Kluyveromyces lactis: one gene and its partners. The protein of the gene in region 3 interacts with the protein of the main gene of each other region in a pairwise test. Links are inferred from orthologs where the notes say so. Each region holds a gene or a part of one and is shown on either strand. Other genes may lie near its edges. The genes, in order: YCH1, ATP11 and KLLA0_F21406g.

What was found.
Region 1: the proteins of KLLA0_F21406g (region 3) and YCH1 interact in a two-hybrid assay, tested with the Schizosaccharomyces pombe proteins (2 studies listed by BioGRID). The link is inferred for Kluyveromyces lactis from reciprocal best matches to the Schizosaccharomyces pombe genes mdv1 and ibp1.
Region 2: the proteins of KLLA0_F21406g (region 3) and ATP11 interact in a two-hybrid assay, tested with the Schizosaccharomyces pombe proteins (2 studies listed by BioGRID). The link is inferred for Kluyveromyces lactis from reciprocal best matches to the Schizosaccharomyces pombe genes mdv1 and atp11.

What each region holds. Positions count from the first base shown.
Region 1 is NC_006041.1:1,475,328-1,477,660, forward strand, and holds YCH1 (phosphatase YCH1), read right to left. Parts: upstream 968-2,333; coding exon 515-967; downstream 1-514. Other genes in the region: peptidylprolyl isomerase ESS1, read left to right, coding at 16-504; PCT1 (choline-phosphate cytidylyltransferase), read right to left, coding at 1,265-2,333. UniProt on the Schizosaccharomyces pombe protein: May play a role in DNA replication checkpoint via regulation of hsk1 or may act downstream of hsk1 in an S phase regulatory pathway.
Region 2 is NC_006041.1:652,818-655,250, reverse strand, and holds ATP11 (Atp11p), read left to right. Parts: upstream 1-817; coding exon 818-1,774; downstream 1,775-2,433. Other genes in the region: DAL82 (Dal82p), read right to left, coding at 1-461; prephenate dehydratase PHA2, read left to right, coding at 2,161-2,433. UniProt on the Schizosaccharomyces pombe protein: Essential for the assembly of the mitochondrial F1-F0 complex. May interact with the alpha and/or beta subunits of F1-ATPase.
Region 3 is NC_006042.1:1,995,655-1,999,297, forward strand, and holds KLLA0_F21406g (WD repeat MDV1/CAF4 family protein), read right to left. Parts: upstream 2,724-3,643; coding exon 606-2,723; downstream 1-605. Other genes in the region: SPC34 (Spc34p), read right to left, coding at 3,150-3,643.

The DNA of each region.
Region 1 (2,333 bases), on a different chromosome or scaffold from region 3:
CCCCACAATTTCGTCATGGCAGGTACAGGACTTCCAGAACCCTGGGTTATCAAGTTTAGTAGATCGAAGAAACGTGAATACTTCTTCAACCCGGAGACTAAGGAATCGGTTTGGGAGGCACCGTCAGGTACAGATGAGGACCAATCAAAGAAATACTTAGAGGAGAACCCATTGAGGGTCAGAGCTTTGCATCTCTTGATTAAGCACAAGGATTCTAGAAGACCAGCGTCTCATAGAAATGAAAATATTACCATTACTAAGGATGAGGCTAAAGAAGAATTAGAAACTTATATCAAGAGATTGAATGGTGGTGAACCATTCGAATCATTGGCTAAAGAGAGAAGTGATTGTTCATCAGCGAAAAGAGGTGGTGATTTGGGGTTCTTCGGTCATGGAGAAATGCAACCTTCTTTCGAGAAGGCTGCGTTTGCTTTGAAAATCGATCAAGTCAGTGATATTGTAGAATCTGACAGTGGTCTTCATATCATCAAAAGAGTTGCCTGAACAGGACTCTTCACCATAAATCGGGTTTATAGTTTTCTGTAACAGCTTCATCTAACCCATAATTCGATTGCCAGTAGTTAAACCCGCCTTTCAATACCCATATTTGGAACCTGTTCAACTGAGATTCTGGTATCGACCGTAAAAATAGCATAGCAGAGCTAGGACCTCTCTGTTGTGATTGTGCGCAATGGAAAACGCAGTTAATAATTTCTGATGCACCATCAGCTCCGATTTCAGCTTTATCAAGTAATTCTTGTCTCAATGTATCTACGTAATTCAGATCCGATTTAAGCCTTCTGTAAGGGTAGTTCCAGGATCCCTTGATATGTCCACCTATATGGTCTGAACCTCGAACATCAATGACTTGGAATGGTTGTCCTAGAGATGTGTGTCCTTGTTTAATCCACTGGTATAGGTCTATTGCGTCTAGATATTTCAATGAAGATATGGAATGCGATTGCATGATGAACTTACGTTGCAAAAAAAGCTTCAATCAACTGAGGATCCAGTAAAAAAGTGTCTATTTCGAGGACCGTGATTCGCTGCTATTTGAATTAACCTTTCTATTCTCCTTCTTTTCTTTGATCGTTCACTTAGTTAAATGAGTGGTTAAAGTTAAAATGTCAACGAAATAGGGCATATAAAAGAGAGAGAGAGAGAAATGTATGTAAGTATACAACGGGTACAGGATACATATATGCGAACGAAGTAGAAATGATATCAAATAATAAAAAGTAAAACAACAAGTATATGAGGCGTTTCAATCGGTAGTTGGTGACCTTTCCCTGTCCCCTTCCTCTTCGTCGTCATCTTCATCTGAAAACAAATGATTCGGCGATTCAGAACTACCTCTATGCAGTTCAGGATCACTATCACTAGTTGGAGATTCAACCTCTTCACCAGTGTAGTCTTTCGCGAATTGAGTTACTGGGGATCTACCCGAAATCCTTTTACTTCTTCTAACGCTTTCATGACCCATGGGTCCAATAAGTTTTGAATACAACTTCTTTCCAAGTGTCTTTTTAAGAAGCATTTCTCTAACTTCGAAATACAAGTCCTTTGATGCGACGTTGACAGATTCTTGGTTCTTCTTGAAATACGATCTGAAATCTTGAATATGTTTCTTGAATTCCAATTCGTTCTTCTTCAACCAAGATACGTTCAACTCCTGTCTCGTGGCACCTCTTGCGAAATTTCTCATCAAGTACTTGTCATAGTCTCTGATGATCTTGGTGATAATATCACTGGTAGAAACACCTTCGGTACGTTGGGTAGTTAAAAACTTACCCATTGCTTTAATTGGTCTGTAGATATCGTCATTATCAGCACTAGCGTATGGTAGATCGTCATGTGCCACATAATCGATCTTGTGTTCTTCTAAAAATTTCGGCGTCACAGTCCATGGGGCATCCGGTATCACTTCATCAACCCATCTACAATGTGTCAACGTCTCGCATCTCTGCTTATCGGTAAGGACAGTCAACCCTTTCAACTTGTGCGTCACTTTATCGCTTGGAACACCACAAATCAACGTCACGTTGGGGAACGACTTCTTACACTGTTCCAATTGTTTCATATGACCCAAATGGAAAAGATCAAACACACCATCCGCATATATACGAATCGGACGATCTGTTGGTGGTAAATTGAACTTGAAGCCCTTAGGTCTAAACTTTCTATACTCAACAGGTAGCTCTTCATCCAACTCCTTTTCCCTGGCCTTGAAATCATTTGTTTCAGAGTGTGGTCTTTTCCGCAAAGGACCTTCCGATTCCTCAGTCTCTGCATCTTCGCTGGTTGTTGTTGTTGTTTCAGATACAATCGATGCT
Region 2 (2,433 bases), on a different chromosome or scaffold from region 3:
GGCTGCGGTCCATTATCAACGTCAGCTTCATCGCCATACCGCCTTTCCTCTTCCAAATCATCCTCCAACACATCATCGTCACCAATGTCTGAGTTCGAATTGACCAGTTCTCCGGTCTCCGCCAATCTTCGCGCCAGCATGCTTAGAGCGTTACTTGATTCAGTGGCAGTACTATCAGATTTTTGACGTTCATGCTCGAATTCAAATACCAACTGTTTGAAGGTTTCGAAATTCGTTACCTTCACGCTACCATATTTAAGATAAACAGAACAAAGCTTATCAAACCTCCTTTTCAATGTCCTAGTTTGCCTGTAATTTAATCCAGATCGCCTATTAAACTCCTTGAGCAAAGTGTTCCATGATTTCATCCTATGGCTATGTGTTTGAAGATGTGGCTTGTATTCTCCCAAAAGAGACACCAAGAGTTCATCCAAATTAGAATGCGAATATATGTGTGACATGTAGGTTAGATTTCGATATTAAAAAGTAGCAGAAAAGGGAAGTATCAAGGTGTGATAACTTCACACCGCAATTCAGTGTGACAATATACTGTTTCAAGTCACACCTAACTCATATTTCTCATCCTCTCAATTTCTTCTTGCATGTATCTTATCTGAACCGGTATACGCTGATTAGAATTTACCTTTTTCTTTAAAAGTTATGAAAAGTGATATTGGAACAAAGTTACTATTACCAACTTTAATGAGATACGGAAGAATTCACTGGAAATAGGTTACTGTAGAGAGTAAGTTCACTAGTTGAAAGAGGATACCTATCAACACAACTTGTGAATCTATCCAGGTAATTTTTCGGACACATGATAAAAAGCTGGACCCGTGTTGTTAAAAGATCGGCCTCGCAACTATCTGCTACGCAATTCAAACGTATTATTGGTGCGTCATCAATCCAATCAAACTCTAGTTACTCTACTGATTCATTAGAACAACAGTACAAGGACAAGCTTTTGGACAAGGCTCGCGAACAAGGTTTTAATAGCATTGAGGAACTTAAGAATTCTTTGAAAGAAGAAATTGAAAAGAAGAAACTCGAGTTAAACAGAATTGATCCACTGAAAGAATTGGAAGACTACGAACAAAGAACCAAAATGTCATCTAACATTGCTAAGTCCCGTGGTCCGATTGATCCATCTATGCCAAAACAGCCGTTTAAGACTTTGGACAGCTTTTTGGATGTGGAAAAAGTGAAAAACCTCTCTAAACAAGAATGCGAATTTCTTTGGAGAGCCAGATGGGCCAATAAGGACAATGTATTGAACGCTGTTGTTCCAATCGATATCTGGGAAAAGATCAGTGCCTTAGCCAAAGAAAACCCATTCTTCGTTATCCCTTTGCCAAGAGAGCGTGCAGTTGAAGAAACTGCTGCTGAATCTGCAGAGAAACAAGAACCGGCCATGGAAATGCATTACATTCAGTGGCAATTTGTAGGACCTAAAACCGTCCACTGTATTATGACTACTCTAGCAGAGTATAAATTGCACAAAGAATTTGCAAGACCTCATACTACTCTACAGTTCCACTTGGATTTGGCCAAGGAAAAGAACATTGTATTGATGAACGGCCAAGTTGAATCTGATTCTAATGTTTCCCTACCAGAATCTCAACTATTGCTTTTGAACGTTCAAAGATTCTATGGTGCTATGGGACAAGACTCCGGGTTTGCCCAAAAGAGGGTCCAACTTTTGAAGGATTTTACCAACGGATCTCCAAACTTCAATGTTGATCTATTAGTTGCTCTTTCTCAAGTTATGGAGTAGTGGAAGATTCCTAATACATTTATATATATTTATATACATATATATATACATGTCGCTTGTATAAAGAAAACATTCCATCATACTCGATCTATGCTAACAGCATGCGGTTTTGAGTAGCAGCAGGCTGTGGTTCGAGGTTGGGCAGCATGCGTTGGAATGGCTTTCTTCTTAGTCACGTGTACTTCATCAAAATGAATTTCACCACTATGACTAAGTGTGGTCCAGAAGTGCTACGAGCATATGGATGCATCGATGACCCAACCTATGAGTAGAATCGATTGAATTCGTTCTGCTCAAACAGTACAAAGCCCCGACAGTAGTTGCACATTGTACACTGTTTGCTGGAAGTTGGAATATCTCCTTGTTTTACTTCTACTACATTTATAATGGCGAAAGTATTGTTCTTGGGCCCTGTGGGAACATATTCACATCAAGCAGCACTCCAACAATTTCCAAACGAGGAGCTAATACCGGTGACATCTATCCCTGCATGTTTCGAAAAGCTCATTTCAGACATAGATATGGACTACGGGGTAGTTCCTCTCGAAAACTCCACCAACGGTCAAGTTGTTTTCACGTACGATCTTTTCAGAGATTTTATGCAAGCAGATTTAAGTCCAAGTGTTGAGGTTGTTGGTGAACAATACGTCGACATTGCC
Region 3 (3,643 bases):
CTCTCTGAAACGTCGTTGAACGCTGAAACATGCGCGTAGCAACTTCGAGATGCTGTTTTGCATGAACATGGACGTCTTTAACATCTTGAATAATTTGTATACCGTTGTAAAGCCATATATTGCAAGTGATTATTCTAATATAATCTCTTTATGAGACGGTATCTACATTATAGTGTGGACATTCTCAACTAATAATCACGAAATTGGTTGTGTGGCCGAGCGGTCTAAGGCGCCTGATTCAAGATACCTATCTTAACCAACCTTACAGTTGGGAACACTCAGGTATCGTAAGATGCAAGAGTTCGAATCTCTTCGCAACCATTTCTTTTTTGTTAAATCTTAGATTTTTTTGGCTTGGAAGCATGTCTTGTTAGTGGCTTGTAGCTAGAAACATTCTACTGCACGCGAAAATAACTAGCAAGGTATTATGAGGATGGTCTTTTTATACTAGTGAGTTATATACAAGTGATCACCTACATTGTATGCTAATTATTTTTCTATTTAATTTATGGGGAATAGTGAAGAATATTTATTATTTTTGAAGTAATGTGCCAGATGACGGCAAATGTCATAACTCTCATTTCAGCTGAAACAATTTTGTAGGTCTAAATTGCCCAGGTGTTGATGTCACCATTCGAGCGCCCTTCTACCAAATATCCGTGTTTGTATCTAACAAAATCCACGTTACCTTGTTCAGGATCATCTTCGCCGCAGAACCAGTGGTTACCGTCTTTCCTGTTGTAAATTTTCACAGTAGGCTCATTGTTTGAAATTACAATCTTATCCAGATCGAAATGTAGAGAAGTGATCGGTTGCTCATATGCAAATACGTCAGAAAGTATACCAGTTCTTAAGTCCCATATTCTTATACTTCTGTCCATTGCACCTGTAACTAGATTGACCGAGTCGAACTGAAGGGAGGTGATGGCGTCAGTATGACCTTCTAACATACGTACTACTTTCCCGGATCTTAAATCCCAAAGCCTTACGATACCATCTTTAGTACCTGTCGCCAAGGCAGCATCGAAGCATTGTAAAGCTCCAATAGCCGGCGGTTCCTTGGTTAGAAGTACACTATTACGAAGAGGGATGTTTCTTTGAGACCGCATAGGGCCAGTTGCGAAAGATATATCTATGGTTTGGGTGCACTTACCACTATTCAGATCCCATTGACGTACTGTCCTATCCTGAGAACCAGAAACCAAATTGTCACCGTCAAAACTTATTGCGGTGATTTCATCAACATGAGAATCAAAGGTATATAAACATGCATCATTATCTTCAGATGAATTTGACGCTTCATCAGCCATGGCCTTATCGATATCCCACAATTTCAGAACTGCGTCCCGACCACCAGTAATCAGGGTGCTATATTGATCAATTTGCATGCAACTGATAGATGCTAAGTGTCCATGCAATGTAGCAATTTGTTTTTTTTTACTTAAATCCCATACTTTTACCGAGTGATCTAGACTGCCAGCAGAGCACATAGTACCAAATGGCATATCAAAATCTAGGCAAGTGATATCTTCATCATGGGCCTTAGGAAGGCTTGTAATCTTAGATCCGGAATCATAGAACTGTTGTAAAGTTGGATAAGTTTTACGGCGGCGATTACGGTGAGAAACACCAACATCTTTAATTTTTTTGGAAGTACTATGTTTCTTCCTTTCGGAAATATCCGATTTCTTCTCGTGGTCTTGTAGCTGCTGATAGATGGATTTGGAAAGCAATGGAGAGTGCTCTTCTTCTTTGTTTTCTAAAGGAGTGGTAGCCGCAGTTTCATATGTTTCGTTAGTTTCTCCAGTTTTAGGCGAAAGTTCAGATAATCCATTTATATTTTCTTCATCCTCCGATGAGTATTCTTTATCCATGTTGTACTCTATAATCATATCGATTCTATCCTTAACGTTGTTCAAATGCTTCTCCAAAAACAATTCATGCTGCTCAATTTTAGCCACTCGCTTGAATACTAGTTCACGCATCATTTTTAACTTTTCCAGCTTGATATCTAGCTCTCTTATTTCGCTAGCTGCTAGATTTTTCTGGATTTCAAGTAAATCCAGGTTATCGGTGATTGACCTCGAGGCATCCTTCAAGAAGGATGCGGAGTAAGAATGCAGAAGTTTATCAGCTTTTAAATGGTCTGGCAAACTAAACTCTTCCTCTTGTTCTTCTTCTTCAGCGTAAACTGGGATGGACTCAGAGTCTGTTAAGGGTTTCATATCGCTATTCATTATAAGTTTTTGCTGTAGTTCTATCGTTTCATTAATAACAGGTAAAGATGCTTCAAATCCTTGAAATAACGTCGGTTCTTGCTTTTTTGACTTTGCAGATCTTTTCTCGCCATTTTCTGTTATCATGTTCTTGTTCTGAGGTATAGTGTCTCGTGGGGCGTCTTCAAGTAGATCATCACTCAAGTAACTTAAAACTTTGAATGTTGTTTTTGGATCACTATAAGAGTTTTTAAAGAACTCTTTGCTATTGGAATATATATCTTGGAAACCTGTATTCTTGCCTTTAGATAATTTCACGTCGTGGCGTACTTTAACTAGTGATGATCCCCCACCTGCATTAGTAATTGTCTCATGAAGCAATTTCTTATATGGACTACTGTATGAAAGAATTGTGTCTTCCATCGGCTGCGACGAGAATAGAACAGACGCCGTGGTAGACAGTGCCTTTCCCAGATTGGCAAACTGGTCTCCCGTATTAGAACTCATAGTTCTGGCACCACTAACACTCTTATCGAGGCTTTTGCTCGCAACATATGTTTCTTTAAGATTTGAAGTTGTAATAGGAACTAACAACTCTTTGTTTCCATGTATCTACTTTTTTGTACTCTGAAATTAGAACTTTCATTGCAGCAATAAAATCATATGAAAGAACGAAAACCGTATTCTCTGTAGAAGAGCAAGATGCCGTAGAAATGGAACTACGATATATTTCGTTATCATAAAATTAGAACCTTAATAATACAAAAATGATATATACTGAACTGAAACTTACATGAATATTTCCATTCCAGTGCGAGATTAATTCCCGAAGTGTGAAATATATCTTTCCACTTCATTTCGGCAAGCATATCGGTTTTTCTTGGATATAACTTATTAATGTATCAAATGGATTTTTAGTACCGCTGCTAGATTTCACTTATTTCTCCCTTCCAAAAGGTCCAACTGTTTCTCGAGCTTCTGTATTTCTTTCTCCTCTTTATCGATGAGAGATGATATTGACGTTTTTTCCGGTAACGCTTCGTGTTGGAAGTCTAACTCCTGGATCTCTACTTTCTTCTGAAGTTCATTAATATCAGCTTGTAATCCATTGTATATTTGCATTAGTTTTTCAAATTTCTCCTTGTATTCAGTGAGAGGCCATTGATCTATAATTTCCCGGAACACAGATAATATAATCGAGATTGGGAAATCTTCTACGAAAAGAGTTTTCCTTCTTGATACATCCTCGCCAGTTATCACACTTCCATTCCGCAATGCATGAAGAAATTGCTTGATTTGTTCGTCCTTGCTGAATTTTTTCAATAGCACGTCGTAGATTCCCAGCTCATCGCTGTTACTTCCTTCGAAGATAAAATCTCTTGCAGGTTTCTGTTTCTTTCGGATGACATGATCGTTTTGACTGAGAT